3 linked regions of the Oryzias latipes genome follow. The protein of the gene in region 3 interacts with the protein of the main gene of each other region in a biochemical or structural test. Links are inferred from orthologs where the notes say so. Each region holds a gene or a part of one and is shown on either strand. Other genes may lie near its edges. The genes, in order: ube2s, pttg1 and anapc2.

Region 1 (5,206 bases), on a different chromosome or scaffold from region 3:
TTCTCCCCAAATGGTGAACCATTCTTTTTAGAATCCTTTTTAGTACAAATTTCCATGATCTCCTTGGATCTCGACTTGAAAACCTGATATGAATTGAATAAGCACAGTCGTTTGGACCCAAGAAGATCGAAGGCCGAGCAGTACACAGTACCATCACAGCCACACATGCAAAAAAAAAAACATCTCAAAAAGACATCCTATCAACAAAGACAACAATACTTTTGTCTGGTTGAAGGTTTTTGTTTTTTCCTCCGACTGAAAGTCATTTTATGTTATTCAATCAAAGTGGGCCGAATTTAAAACAAAACTAATGACATGGTTTAAAAGTAAAAAAAAATTTAATTTCCTTTTTTCAGGAGGAACAATAGCTTTAGGACTGAAAAGAACTAGATCTGTGATGACAGGATGATTTAAACAGATGACAAAACAAAGGCTAGGAAGGACATTCTTGACTCTAATCGGAAAACTTAACAAAAAATGTGAACAAAATGGTTCTGTCAGCACACTTCAATATTTATATTTACACTTCCTTTAATTCATTCACTCACTCAGACACACAGAAAGTTTCACTGAGGTATTAAAGTCGTCTCAATGCGCGCTTCTTATCGGCTTTCTTTTTCACTACATTATTGATGTTGCTGCTACTGTTGCTATTGCTGCTGGCTCCATTGGCACTGTTACCCAGACCTGCTGGTACACTGGGTCCTGCTCTCTTTGTAGGGTCGCCCGCGTGCTTTTTTGGCTGAGGGCCGTCATTCGGATCCTGAGGTGCCCCCGACGTACCGCCCATAGCGTGGATTTCTGTGAGGAGGCGGGCTCGGGACTCGTACTCTGCATAGTCCTCCAACAACAAGCGCCCGGCCTCCTCGTTCAGAGCCGACTCCGGGTTTGGATGGATTAGAAGACACTTGATGGTCTGCCGTCACAAAGAGAAAATCGTTGACGGACCACATACATCACACTCAGGGGAAAGATAGCCGATGGTGGAACTCTTACAAGTAAGATGTGTCTGAGCCCGAGCTCTGCCTTCCAGTCCCTCTTCAGCACATTCACACAGATTTCTCCTTTGTGGCCGACGTTGGGATGAAAAATCTTGGTCAAGAAATACCCCTTGGGTGGAACAGCAGGGAAGTCCTTCCCGAGGACCAGACGCATTCGGAAAATGCCACCAGCAAATGGAGTTCCCTCTGTCAAAGTATAAAGAATTCATAGCATGAACAGTATGTCTTAACTGCGGATACACAGACTGAATTTTTTTCAAGCTGAATCAAATCTCTAACTTTGAAATCATAGACGTGCTAAACATCAAAATTCTTTAAAATGACAGGCTTTTGCACATCAGTCCTTGATAAATCTGCACTATTTTTGCAATTGAGCACGGCTAAACATGCCAAAGAACTGGAACCGTTCTTCATCCACGTCTGCTCAGCTCTAAAGGAGAACAAAATAAAAAAGCTAAATGGTTACGTTTTGAAGCTGGATTATGCTTAAAATATGCCCAGCATATTAAGACGCACTTCCTCTCTCACAAAATACAAACAATTCACAAACATCCTTGCCTCACTGTCTTCACGGTTTACTTTGGATAGCTGAACTCTTACAATAGCACACAGCTCTTTTAAATAAAAAAATAACAAGAATAACCCAAAGGGTTCATACAACTTTGGATTTTATAGTTATTATTTGTGGTTACCTTCACGAAGTAATGTGTAGCCTCAGCCTCAAGATGGCAATCATGCGCTAAACTGTTTGGCATTTAAAAACGGATTTTGAATTATATATTTCTTCTAATGCATGAACTGAACTGCATGCCAATATTATGGGGATAAACCTTTAACAATAGCAACAATTTTTAAAAATTGTTCAAAAAAGCTGTGAGTTATAGCTCTTTGTTTAAACGATTACAATCTTTATTTGGAATGTTGAATTTTTGAAACTCCTACGACTTGCATCGTTATCACTTTTTAAGAATTTCCATTCAACATAAGCTTAAAAGCCCCTGATAAAAATAGATGCATCAACAATGCAATCCGTCCAATTTAAATCAGTTCTTCCTTCAGAAATGAGCTATATCTATCCACAAGTCCAAGAAAAAGATGGCAAAAGGCTCATTTCAAAATGAAATCTATAATTAAATGCAGAATGTGCAGTACAAGACATGACATTTTTAATAACGTAAAATGCTGTAGTCCTTTCCTATTTTAGGAAATACTGCCTAAAAATGGCAAATCTAGTTTAAGCTTTCCATGGAGCCTCACTAAAATCCTTACCTGGTCCTTCAATGGATGTGTGGAGTTCAGTTATGTCTTCCTCACTAGGATAAATCTTTATACCTTCAGGTGGATCTGCTGCTAAAGCTGATACCTCTTTGTAGACCAAGCGCAGAACATGAGGGGGCAAATTCTCAACATTTGAGTTCTATGGGAAAACAGAACAGGGCACATAAATGGGCATTTAAATGTGTAAAAAGCTTTGGAAATGAAACCGATTTGATAACGAGAGAAAAATACAAAGAAATCACTAAAAATATAACTTAAAATTAAACAAGATACAAAGAATTTTCATCAATCTCGTTTAGTCTGATTCTTCAATAAAATATAAAGATAATAAAATGAGATAATTTAGAAAAGATAAATCCAAGCAAGCCATTGTCGGAAAATATAAATTGCTGACCACATGAGAATGTACTTAAGGATGTCACATCTGCAACACCTAAGAAGCAGCAATAAAAATGCACTTCTATTTAAACTGCACGTTCAATTGATAAAAAAAATCCTGCATTATATAAAAGTTATCATTTATTTATGTTGATTTAATACAGCTGGATGCTACTGTGCCATTTATGCTAGATTTTCAGTTAGAAATTTGCATTGCTGGGGGTCAGGAGGATATTCAAACGAATGCTATGCTGCTAGAACAAAAATACAACATTGAGTTTCAAAGTTTTTGTCGCCAAGCTTAAAGAAAAGAAGAAAAAAAGTTTTACTGTAGGTAATATAAAGGCACATTAAATCAAGGTACGATCGTATCATGACTGATAAAATATAAAATTGCAACTCTTACTAATTATTATACAGAAATAAGGAGATAACTTTACGTTAACGGTTAGCAAGAGGTAATGCCTCGAACTTAGCGTTGATTAAAGGCTGTAAAAACGCGATCATTACGCTAAAAGTACTCCGTACTATTTTTAAAATCATGTTTTGGTTCCGCGAATAAAAAACAACTTTTAAAAAAGAAAGAAAATCAACCACAACCAGGGTGTTTTTGACGATCTAACACCGGAGCAAGCTAGCAAAAACTCCCCTTAGCTGTTAGCAATACGCTCGGTCATCTGTCTTACCATCTTCGAAAATGAGATCTTTTTGGTGAATGGTTGTTTACTGGAATGGGATAAAACGAAGCTTTTTCTGCTACTATTTGAGAAAAAGTATTTTGTAGAAACTTAATCACAAAAAAAACCCTGATTACTGTCCTTTTCGCTTTAACGTTGACACAGGAACAAAAATACGATCCTCGATTTAACCTGCTGATATTAACCAATAGCCGTCTTAGCAAGTTGACGCGTATGAAGTTCCTAACCAATCACAATCTAGATTTTCTATTACGTCATGATAGAAAAAATATATAAGCCAATCAGAGTGTAAAGAGAGCTGATGCTGGTGAGCCATAGGCCCGTTTGAAAAACTCAAACTACCGATCGATACTGACAGGAAATAAACCACAATCAAGAATATCGGGTATATTAGATTAGCTAATATAATTCAATCAATAGCAGTGAGCATTTTTATAACGTGAAAAATACATTTAAAACAAATATTCCTAATTATATTTTAATATAATTGTTTAAGCAAATAAGTGAGCTGTATTTCTGAAGCACCTTTTTATGCATTTTCTAAACACTCCCTGTGGCGGTTGTTGGAGTCTATTCTAACTACCCCCAGGTGTGGTACACCCTGGACTGTCTGAGCCACACAACCACATACACTCACATTCATTACTTTTAACCTTTCCTAAACAAATGCATGTTAGCTTTTTTATAAAAGGACACAACAGAGTCAATCAGGGACACTGACAGGATAAGGGCATTCAATAAACATGGTGCCTCAACCTGAGGACAGCTTTCCTGGTTTTGGAGCAGGATTTTGGACTAACAAAAAAAATTGTAGGCCAATAATAATATTAAATGACTGTCCATCATACAAATACCAATAATTTAGTGGTGTGTCCTAAATATCTATGAACATAAAAACAAACCCCGCAACTATCAGACAATAGAACGCTATTTTAGCATTGCTGTGATCTAATGCTTGTTTTTGCACAATTTGATTTTGAAACATTGTACTCAAAACTGGCTTATGTTCTGTGAGAAATCTTTAAAAAATGTTATGCAGGTCTTTGTACATCTCAAAGTTTCCTGTGCATTTATGAAGGAAGAAACAGCGCCAAATGCAAAATAGCACACAAACAGATAACCCAATAGTGTCCTCAGGACCTCTTGTGCAAAAATCAAACATATAACTGGGAATGGTAACCAATTTGGACACAACATTGATAGAGACAATGTAGATAAAACAGGGTTTTTTTTTAATCTCAAAAGGAAGGTAGGAGAGGATAAGAAGGTCTTTTTATTACCATTCTACAAAGCTCAACAGAAATCACTGTAAATGAGACAACAGACATAACTTTAAAAAAAATCAGAACATGATACACTAACATTCAACAATTTTGACAAAGAACAACTTCAGTTCTAAATTCAACACATAACATACATTAAAAGATTTGTAAAAGGTTCAGAATAGCAACATCTGACACAATATCAGACTAAAAAATAACTGATGGAGTGCTCATGGCATCTTCAAATTATCTAATTTGTTATTAAATATTGTTCTATGAATATCTCTCCTTTCATTGGTCCTGTATGGCTGAAATGTGTTCACTCAAAACAGAAAGGTTCAACAATGGAGTTTCATCTTACATTTTGCTGCCTTTGTAATGGCTATCAACTTGTATCTCTTGGATTGAACACAGTATTTCCTGCTCAGAGCAGTTTTGCTTTCACTGAATATGATGTTATCCAGTCAATCACAGATATAGTAGACATGTTGCATTCTAGGAAAATGTAACATTATCATCAACATTCATGAATATCATCACAAGTAATTTCTCCATCAAAAAAATTCTTAAGTTGAAAGACAATAATCCA
Region 2 (5,274 bases), on a different chromosome or scaffold from region 3:
GCCCTGTCTCACGGACAGCGGGACGTGGGCGTCGCTGCTGCTGACAGGCGAGTCTGCTCCGTTCCGGTCCATTCCGCCGCCCCCCCCCCAACAAACAGCCACTTCCTCCCAGACAACACCCTGAAGATGTCCGATTACAAAGTGATGGGATCCGGATCCTGTTAGGACGCAAAAAGTAAACATGAGGGCGTCCAAAACCTGCTCGACAGGTCCTCATTCTGAATGCACGCGTTCACAGAATCCAAATAGCGACACAGCAAAGTTCACTCACCTGCTCCTATACCGCAATCACACCGCATTCCACTCCCGCAAAAGCGGATGGGTGGTCTTTAGGCGCAATTTAGGTCCACCGTGTAGTTTCCACTCCGAGCAAAGACTGGAAATCTTTCCTCTGAAAGGGGAACTGAAAAAGTTCATTCTAATGAAGCAGATCCTCTTCAGAAGACTCCCAACACGTGACCACAGCTGGAGTTTAAAGCAGGAAGTAGTTCAGGTTCACTCCCCTGACACTTTTGCAGCCATTCCATCACACACACACACACACTCTGGACCACAGATGTTGCCAAGAAAACTTTATTTCAACACAAATAATAAAAACAGCCATTTAACAAACAGGCATCAGCAGTCAGTAAGCGGTTCTGGGGGGAATTCAACAGTCAGCTCTTCAAGGGTTTGTAGGAAGGCATCCAGCTCCAAGCTGTGATCTAAAAAGGAAAATGAAGAGGAGTTTATGAAGGCTTTCCTGCCAACAGGCACACTTTCCAACAATAACAGCCATAACAAGTGGCATTTGTTGGAAGTCACATGATTCAGTTAATGAGTAACCTACAGGTCTGATCATAGTTTGAACTGTTCAACACTAAAAGGATTAACAGGTAACAGGGAACAGCATTGTAGTTTAGGGGGAAAGCTTTCCTATTACGTTACAGTTTGGGATCATTCGACAAGAATCCAGTCTGTGTTTCCCCAAGGGCACTGAGGAGCCAAACAGGTTCTTTGCAACAGAGCTGAGTAAATGAAAATTCAAACTAGTTTATTTTGTATCCCCAAAAGAAAAGAGAAAAAAAACGAACATGTTGACTCCAAAGTTACTAGATCTGTGTACAAATGGTTTGAAGTTTTTTGTTTTAACAGTAAAGCAAACCTCAAAGTTAAAATATTTTCTGTCTAATTTTGAAAAACATGACACGATTACTTTTTCCTAGTATTTATTACTTATTTAAAGCACCATGTGGCGTTCTGTTGCATTTCCCTTTGTTGCAACAGAGTGATTTCCTCTGTAAGCTCCTGAAAATAGGAGATTTATCAGACGTATAAAGGAGAACCATACCTGGAAATCTGCACCCTTTTGCAGGTGAAGGGTCTGGGAGAGGCTGAATCTTTTCCAGGTCTTCCTCAAGAAGAGGCGAGGTAAAACAGGCCAATCCGGGTAGAGCCAGGCCACTGAAAGGAATGAAGTCCTCGGGTATGCTGTACTTCTCAAACTCTGAAAATATGAAGAAACTCAGGAATGGGTGAAAAATTTCCCAGACTGTGAATAAGCCCCTTTAAAACCAAAGAAGTCAGAAAAGACACAGCCACACATGGGAGCCGTTTAACACAGTGGACACTACCACAAGGCCACTGAGCCACTTCCAATTCTTTCACATCATTACATTTTGTTGCTTTTACTTGAACAACCACCACTCATGAGCAGAAAGACGCTGTGCCCGTTGATTATGCTCAGTGATAAGAGTGGATATTGTAAACATGGTGGCTATGAAATGATGTGACATTAGCAGTAAAGACTTTCAGATGGCATACAGCTGCAGCACGACCAGCGGAAATGTGGAACTACTAAACATCTTGGTTTAAAAAAAAAAAAAAAAAACCTCTTAAAAGCATAATTTGCCTGCAAACCAAACAAACATGACATTACCTAGAGGGTTGTAAGGAATAAAATTTTCCATTTTTGGGTATTCCTCCCCTTTGGCTTCAGAAGGATGCTCGACCTTGACTTCCTATTGAGAAGAAGGGCAATATGGACACACAGAAACAACAGAATAGCCTTTTGCTGAAATAAATCCATTTGTCATTAGTGTTTATTTTTACCTGTGGTTTTAAAACTTTTTTCTCTTGTGTACTCAAAGAAGGGGTTAAGATCTTTTTGTTCACCACCCCAAAAGCCTTACGCGCTGAATGGACAGGGGTATTTTTGACCAACATTGGAGACTTCAACTGTTTTTCTGGTTATAGAGAGCGAGAATAAAAAGGAGGATCATGCAGAGTTCCACAAAGATAATCTGAAACAGTTGAACATGTTTTTAATACCTGGAGCAGACAGAAGCCTCTGACGCATTTTCAGGGAAGAGGGACGGAGGCAAACATTCTCCTGTTCGGTGAAGATGACATTTGCCATCTTGGCTAAAAGGTAAAAAAAGAAAAACATTTGGTTTCAAAAAACTTTCAATTACTTTAAATGGGGTTTTATATACACAAATTCATAAAAATATAACTTAATTTATTGAAAGAAAAGGGGGAAAAAAAAGGTGCACTTTGAAATTCATAAGTAGACTAACAGAGTTGGCTATTCTCATTTTGTTTCCCCACAATTCAGGCATTTTGAGGTTCAATTACGGATTTATTTATTTTTTTTTTACATCAAAAAGGCTTTCTGCTAATTGGTGCTGATGTTTAGCATTAAGAAGAAGATTATGTATTGTCAGGCCCAAAACTAAACTAAGCTAAAGTAGACATTTTGTTTTCATCTAACAACTATGCAATTATTTACAAAATAATGGATACATTTCCCATTTGGAAAATGATTAAGTTCAGAATAATTTAGTTCAGACAACAAATATTTATTTACATTTACTGACAATAATGTAAACAGCAGAGATTTGTCCAATGCTACATTATTGTTAGCGGTTAACTTTGTTTGTCATGCAACGTTACGTACGGTTTAAAAATTATCGTTAGCAGTTTGTCGTGCAACGTACGGTTTAAAAAAAATTGCCCATTTACGTAAAATCTTGGAATGATAAACCAACGGTTACTTTCACGTCTATTTACCTTAGTGTTAGTAACCTCAAAGAACAATAGTTCTTGGTCTCAATCCGAAGGCTTTATCGTCTTTATCCTGCTTTTTGTTTTTTATCTAGCTACAACAGCTTCCGCACCTTTGTTTTTAAATCCGTTCACTTCATTCCATTGGTCGTTGTAGCCCTCGTGACTGTCGTTGGGCAGTGATTATGATTGGTCGTTGTACCCCACGTGACTGGCATGAATTAATTTCACCCGTGTCTCATTTCAAAGCGTTGTATGAACAGAATTGGGCATATTATCGAAAAAAAATAATCATTTAGTCAATACCAAACTAACAAAAATTGCCCATATTCATAAACTGGATAATTATTCATGCTAATTATTCCCCTTTTATTTTATTTTTTTATTGCTTGCTGACTTCCATTTACTAGCGTTCTATCGGACGAAACCATGTCTGCACCATCTTTCTTTATCTTATGTGTTTATTTTTCTATAAATAAATCCGTCTTAAAGATAAACTGCAGTTATATGTCTTTTTTTCCCTAGTACCTATTGTTGTAATCAAGACGCAAAAGCAAAGCTACGTGTTCTCTACATGATTAACTCCGTAGATTCAATGGTACATTCCAAACAGGCCATCTTTCTGAGGAACGTTAACTGTTCAGCAGGGCTGCTGAAAGAGGACAGTTGAGGGAGAGCTAACAGAAAGCATCATGGCTTCGACCGAGATAGCAAGGCAAGCTGTAAGTCTTCTGTTTTACTTTTAAACGCATCCATCAGCCTAAATATGAATTAGTTTTACGTTTAATGTGCGTCAAGGATATGTTAGATGGAATTAGGTGTTAATAAGGAACTCCCCGCATTTTTTGTGCCTTTCAGAAATTCGCGGCATCATAGCTAAACCAGTGTAATGTCACTGTATTGACCAAAACACCCCAAATATGCTTTGGATATTCATTTAGAGCTGTGCCTTTGTAAAATTGTAGATAGGAGTACCTGGTCTTAGCTTTTGTATTGTATTCTTAATCGAGAACAACGCCTTTATCTCCATGCTGGTTACAGCTAGCTTAATTATCTCATTAACGAAACTGCGCCTGGTAGAATTATTAGTTTTTCATTGCCGTCGTAACAAAAATGTCGTATATTTAAAAGGTTTAATCAATACAAATCCCCCCGTAGGCCATTCATTCTGAACGCCCCCATTTCAGCTCAGCTTCAGTGTTCATTTCCGTTCTGTTCTGTCATGTAAATCCCGTTAACTTTCAACGGGCGTTGTCTAAAAGTAAACAATATTTCTTGGTTACTATTACTTAGTAGTAATGCATATAAACAAGCGGTTTTAAAGCTATGCTAGGACAAAGTGTGCTGCTCTTTTTTTTAAGGGAGAAAGGAAACCACTTAGTCCAGAGGGAGTGCTTAGAATAGCAAGGTTGTCCAGTTTTATATCCCTTTGTGGCTCCAATGAATGAAGCAGATTATGTTGAGAGAAGATGCCTGCGATTTATAAAGTGTTTAGTCTCTCATTTCCTTCACACCTTCAGCTATTTGACCCCAATTCAGCCCCTTTAAAACAATCTGCCGCTTCCAAGTACCACCAGCTTGCACAGTTATTTTAAAATGACTTCTCAGAGTTTTTCTTTTCCCTCCTTTAAAGCCATCACCGTATTGGACAACACTGTGTTATGTTCAGCCACATAATGGCTGCTTGTGTTCATTTTAGCTTGTGGAGAGCTCTTGCTTTTGGCATGCAATGTACATTCTTTGCTTTTCCTGAATGCAGACATTGGCTCTCAATGTGAGACTCTCGAGCAATCTGCCAGCTACCCTCCCAAATATGCAACAACAGTGCTTTATAGCTTTGTCTTCCGAGCTATTCTGGTCCAGAAAGCAGAGCGCATAGAGGTGCAATCAGCCTAAAACCAATAGTTCACATGATGCACAGCAGACTAAACGGTTTCAACTATTTGCTCCTGTAAGGGAATCTACAAGTGGTTGAAAAATGTTTGTGTTGTGTAATTTAAATGTTGCTTTGAGTCAAATTTAACTTCCAATGTGATTTTTAGGCCTTTTTGCACTTTTATTTTAACTTATAGATAAAATCCTCACATCAGTGCAACCATTCTACAATTAAAATTCAAAGTTTTTAGTATAAAACTAAATAATTCTTTCTGAATAAATTAAACACATTTTAAACGTTTGGAAGGCAGTAATGCCTGCAAATTGACATCACGATTTACCATTTAGTTCCTC
Region 3 (5,058 bases):
ACTCCTCCTCCCGGATGTTGCCGTTGATCCTGCGGGAGTCCGCCATGTCCTGCAGAGGAGCGCCGCATCAAACTGCAGCTCCTGGCGGAGGAGAGTCCAGCTGCCGAGTGTGGGGGTTACCTTCAGCATGACCTCGCAGTAGTGCATGTGAGACTCTCCGAAGCGAAGCTTCAGCAGCTCCACGTTCCGGATCTCCCTGGAACAGAGCAGAGTCCAAAATGACGAATGTGAAGAAGAAAATGAACGGATGACGGAGGTGATCAGACCTGGCGGTGTTGTAGTTGAGCTGCTGCAGCAGGCGGTCGGCCAGGACGCCTCTGTACTCGTCGATGAAGATGTCCTTGCTGCCGTAGATGCTGACCAGCAGGCTGATGATGTCTGAGGAGCGCCGCTTGGAGCCCAGCTTATCTGCAGAAGGGTCAGAGGTGAGCCGAAGGGCCGCAGCGGAGCGACTACCGTCGCACCACGCCATCACCGACCGGGCACGGCGTCCGTCGGGTCCGGGGTCCAGTCCTCCGGGTCGGTGCCTTCGTCGTCGCTGTCCTGCATCTCCAGCGTCACCGGGTCTCCGCGGGACAGCTCGGAGGCCAGGTCGGTGCAGCCCTCCGCATCTCCGGTCAGACCCGCCACGATCTGCCGCACCGTGTCCTCCCGAGTCCTGAACAGCAAGAGGCAGCGCTGCGGTTTAGACGGTTCAATGAACACATTTCTAACTGAAGCGGGTTTCCTGAAACCGCCTGTCAGACCGCAGACACGCAAACTCACCTGAGGTACTTTCTGATTGGCTGACAGGCAACCTGCAGGATGACCATGGACGGGTCCAGCTCTCTGAGGGCTTTGATGGCTGAGATGTAAACGGTGAGGATGTCAGAGGTGTGAACTCCTGCACACAAGTTGAGGATGAGGATTATTTTTAAGAGAAAAGCATTCAACAGAATCAGGAAACCTTTGGAGGATCCAACAGGACAGTCGGTCCTCCACAGGTTCTGGAGAGTCGTGACAGAACTTTACACCCACTGAGCTACAGGTTTTATTTCCCCTCACTGCTGCTAAGCCGCCGCTCAGGTAGAAACCGGCATCTTGGGTACCGACGACCTGCTGATAACGACCGGCTTCTGTGGTACCGGCCCGCCGCTGACATCTACTCCCTGCTTAGCTACATACAGACCTGCTGCTCGGTTACCAAACCACTCGGTTACCAAACCACTCGGTTACCAAACCACTCGGTTACTTACCCGGGTGCAGCAAACGGCTTTCGAAGGCAGATTTCAGGGAAGTGAGGAGCTGCTGTCGCTGGTTAGTTCTCTCCAGGCAAAACTTGAGATCCTCAATCGCAGCTTTGGATTCTGGGAAATCTGCACGAGATATGGAGCAAAGATGTTAGACAAAAACAAACAAAAAAAAAACTCCGTCGGGTTGGTGAGAGTCACCTCTGATGATGCTGAAGAGCTCCTCGATCCTCATGTTGACGTAGATCCTGCAGAAGAACTGGTGCATGTGGCACCTCCACTGCTTCATGACCGGACTGGCCAAAGATGCTGGTGCCGGACCGTCTCCCGACCCCTCACAGGCAAAGACTTTCCCCAGCCAGCCGAGCACCAGCTCCAACCACTGCAAGGCGGAAAGGTTCAGACGGAGCCGACCAGGGAGCTGCTACAACGGATGCCTCACCTCCTGGAAGTTCAGCAGGAAGGAGCGCTCGTACTCGCCGCGGCAGTGCTGCTCCATCCGCTGCTCGATGAGCTTGTGGAGGATGGAGGTGACGGCCTCTGAGCTGACCCAGTCCAGCAGCTGCAGTTTGGACCTGCAGCCACAAACAGCAGGTCAGACTCTGACAGACCACAGGAGCTGCAAGGAGCTTCGCTCTGGTTCTCACAGGATGTGGCTGAGCTGCTGCAGCTGCTCCAGGGCCTCCAGACACCAGCACTGGTGAAGCGGGACCCCACAGCCCGGACAGGCCCCTCCCTCAGAACCATCCGGAGCCTCTGCCCCATCCTCGGCGTTCCCCTCCTGCTTCATGTAAACAGAGAAGGTCCGGCTGTAGAACTCCAGCACACGCTCCTGCAGGACAGGAGATGGCGAGAAGAGCAGGAGCGCTCTGATGGTCGTGAAGGCCTGCTCCTTGAGCCCTTTGGGTCCCGGCCCGCTCAGACCACAGCGGCCCTCCTGCTGCCACGCCCCCAGCTTCTCCAAACCACCTAAGGAGCAGACGTGTCAGAAATGTCCGACAGCAGTGGACCCCCCGGTGTCTGGGTCTTACTCAGGAAGGGTTCCAGGCGGTCCAGCAGAGTCCTGAAGGCGGTGAGGAGAACCCAGGCCCGGCCCCTCTCCTCCAGCTCGTTCTCCGGCTGCTTCAGTCCACACCAGAACTCTGGAACCACGGAGGACGACAAACGCATCTGCAAGGTCTCCAGCAGCCACACCCCGAGAAGAGGAGCCAGACCCCGACGGCAGAGCAGAGCCAGGCCGTCCACGAGGTTCTGATCCGACACCGAGAAGCCAGGAGACACCTGCAAGAGAACCCAACGCAGAGCCTCAGCATCCGTCCAGAAGCTGCTGTACGTGCTGATGCCAGAGCAGATCCTGGGCTCGGATTGGCTTTTACTTTTAGTTCAAACACAGCAATGAAGAACTTTGAACCAGTTTTTTCTAAACTCAGGTGTGTTTGAAAGGAGGAGCAGATTTAAAAACGCCTTCAAAGCTTCATCTGTGACTGATATACAAATGAAAATATCACGCATATAGATGCAGTCTAATGAGTCTGATAATGATCCACAGATTGTTTTAAATGTGTGAGATTCATCAAAGTGAACTACCACCAGATTTGGAGACGTGAATAACCTCGATAAACTGACGTCTCACTCATGGTTGGACTCCGACACTGAGGTTCGGGGTTCGGGTCCACTCACCAGAGCCGCAGAGACCGAATCCCATGCAGCCGCGACACCCTGGACCGGTTCGGGTCCAGACATTTCCACAGACTCCGAGTCTTCCATCATTTCCTCCATTTTATGGGTTTTTCTCCTCAATTAACAAACCGGGCGGAAGTCCAAACAGGCGCGTGCCGGTTTTAAGAGGTTTAGTTGAAGGTACAAATACACATTATTTCTCCAAAAACACAGTAATATACAAAGAAAAAGATACTATTTATTAACAAAACAAAACCACGTGACCCCTCCTACTGAATGGCGGGTTCAGATCTTCTTTGACTTCTTCTACTGTATTTAGCGCTGAAAGATGGCAGTGCTGCCACCTACAGTTGTTAATGCGCATCGTTCTGTTTTTTCTTCGTTGTTTTAGTTGTTTGCATGATGTACGTGCAAAAAATTTAAAAGTTGTAAAAAAAAGTAGTCAAAAGTATTTAAAAGAAGTCTGTTTTGCATTTTGCATTTTTGTGAACAACTACTGCCCTCGTGTGGACAGAGTGGAAAACTGCAACACGTAATGTTTGTAACAGCAACTAAGAGCTGGAGAAAAATTATTTACCAAATTAAGTTAATCTTTATGTAAAATAATCAACATCGATCAAATTAATTTATTCAAAATTAAATGTCTCAGGTTGTAATAAAAAAGCATATTTATCTTATCTTATCAAAATTGTAACATTTACTAAAGTATTTACGAAATAAATACAATTAAATTAATAACTCAGAAAAAATGATTATCTTGTTGAAAAACTTAAAAAAATCAAATTTTACCCGATCAAAAATGTTTTTACGTGTGAGGATGGGTTATGACATGATATCTGCCTCAGTGGGCAAACAGATACAACAGAACAATGATTTATAATGGAAAAACACACAAAATGTGATCACAGTCAAAATCCTTATCGCCCTCTTGTGGACAAACTGGTGAACTGCAAGACAAGTTACATCCACTATGTATTTTCACGGAAACTATTTATTTTCACGTTTTTGAAAATGTCTCTGCATTTTCTTTACTGAATAAAATATAAGTTTAAATGTTAAAATAAACAATTAATTTCTAAATAAACTGTAATTTTTTTACCGGTAATTTGGTTTAGCAGGAACCAATTACCCTGTTTAAAAAAAAATTCTAATTAAGTTTGCAAACATCTTATCTAAGTTTTCCCTATAGACAGACGGATTAGTGGTTAAACATAATCTGTCTTATTATTAACTGTGTTTGCTTTAATTAACATATCCTTGCTGTTGCACCAACATCAAAACTGTTTTGTTCGTTTAAAGAAAAAACAAAAATTATCTGCCGACAAACAGCATTTACTTCCTTAAACGTTGTACTGAGCTATTTCCAATATGACATTAGGATTTCATATTTTAAATGTAAATGTTGAAAAAAATCTATACTTCTATTTTAACTTAACCTGAAAGAGGAGGCTGTAGTTAACCCCCGGAGCATAAAAATCTAAGTCTCACTTGTTTTAAAATATCAGCATTAATGTGATGTCACACAAACAACATAATCGTTGTATATCAAATTGTTTTTTACCATTTTTCTCACTGTGAAAAAATAAAAAATATAAAAATAAAAGCGTGCTTTTGTTCTGAAAGTCAGATAAATGACGTAACTTCCGCTAGTCGGCAGCAGAAACATGATGGCCGTGGAGAGCGAGTGAGTGTCTCAACAGTTCCTGTGATTTGTCTTTAAACGACTTTAAAAAAAATCAAACAGAGATTATTTAATGTCGCCTCACATAATCCGCTCTTTAATCTGAGTCACGTTTGTCCCGTTTGTCAGAAACGGGACAGTTAGCTAAAGGAAAGCTAACGAACAGCTGCTTATGAAACAGTAAACACTGTCTCCAATCAGCTGTTCTGTGTCCGCAGTGTTCAGTCGGAGATCGAGGTGCTGCAGTCCATTTACCTGGAGGACCTGCAGGTGGACCGGAAGCAGGACGGGTGAGGAACCGGATCTGCGTGCTTCTTTCTCGGTTCTTTTTCCTTTAATCTGTTATAATATGAAGATTTCTCGGCACAGAAAAGTCTCTGAGATGCGAAACGCTTTGACAAAAAACCACAAAGCAGGTTTTTATGTTTCATTTCCGGGTAAAATCGTGAAGTCTGTCTCTACAATCCA

What was found.
Region 1: the proteins of anapc2 (region 3) and ube2s form a complex in vitro, tested with the Homo sapiens proteins (3 studies listed by BioGRID and IntAct). The link is inferred for Oryzias latipes from reciprocal best matches to the Homo sapiens genes ANAPC2 and UBE2S.
Region 2: the proteins of anapc2 (region 3) and pttg1 form a complex in vitro, tested with the Homo sapiens proteins (2 studies listed by BioGRID, with this or other methods). The link is inferred for Oryzias latipes from reciprocal best matches to the Homo sapiens genes ANAPC2 and PTTG1.

The regions. Positions count from the first base shown.
Region 1 is NC_019874.2:19,503,325-19,508,530, reverse strand, and holds the start of ube2s (ubiquitin-conjugating enzyme E2 S), read right to left. Parts: upstream 3,546-5,206; 5' UTR 3,347-3,545; coding exon 3,344-3,346; intron 2,419-3,343; coding exon 2,271-2,418; intron 1,188-2,270; coding exon 997-1,187; intron 917-996; coding exon 578-916; 3' UTR 1-577. UniProt on the Homo sapiens protein: Accepts ubiquitin from the E1 complex and catalyzes its covalent attachment to other proteins. Catalyzes 'Lys-11'-linked polyubiquitination.
Region 2 is NC_019868.2:9,721,122-9,726,395, reverse strand, and holds pttg1 (securin), read right to left. Parts: upstream 3,222-5,274; 5' UTR 3,159-3,221; exon of another isoform or gene 3,052-3,158; intron 2,404-3,051; 5' UTR 2,399-2,403; coding exon 2,311-2,398; intron 2,226-2,310; coding exon 2,092-2,225; intron 2,001-2,091; coding exon 1,919-2,000; intron 1,487-1,918; coding exon 1,331-1,486; intron 705-1,330; coding exon 619-704; 3' UTR 558-618; downstream 1-557. Other genes in the region: ankyrin repeat domain-containing protein SOWAHD, read right to left, coding at 1-158, 272-299; sept6 (septin-6), read left to right, coding at 3,738-3,767. UniProt on the Homo sapiens protein: Regulatory protein, which plays a central role in chromosome stability, in the p53/TP53 pathway, and DNA repair. Probably acts by blocking the action of key proteins.
Region 3 is NC_019866.2:2,381,985-2,387,042, forward strand, and holds the start of anapc2 (anaphase-promoting complex subunit 2), read right to left. Parts: upstream 3,218-5,058; 5' UTR 3,009-3,217; coding exon 2,910-3,008; intron 2,511-2,909; coding exon 2,261-2,510; intron 2,199-2,260; coding exon 1,877-2,198; intron 1,805-1,876; coding exon 1,672-1,804; intron 1,612-1,671; coding exon 1,431-1,611; intron 1,356-1,430; coding exon 1,236-1,355; intron 884-1,235; coding exon 766-883; intron 659-765; coding exon 480-658; intron 409-479; coding exon 267-408; intron 197-266; coding exon 121-196; intron 50-120; coding exon 1-49. Other genes in the region: E3 ubiquitin-protein ligase RNF25, read left to right, coding at 4,574-4,593, 4,809-4,880. UniProt on the Homo sapiens protein: Together with the RING-H2 protein ANAPC11, constitutes the catalytic component of the anaphase promoting complex/cyclosome (APC/C), a cell cycle-regulated E3 ubiquitin ligase that controls progression through mitosis and the G1 phase of the cell cycle.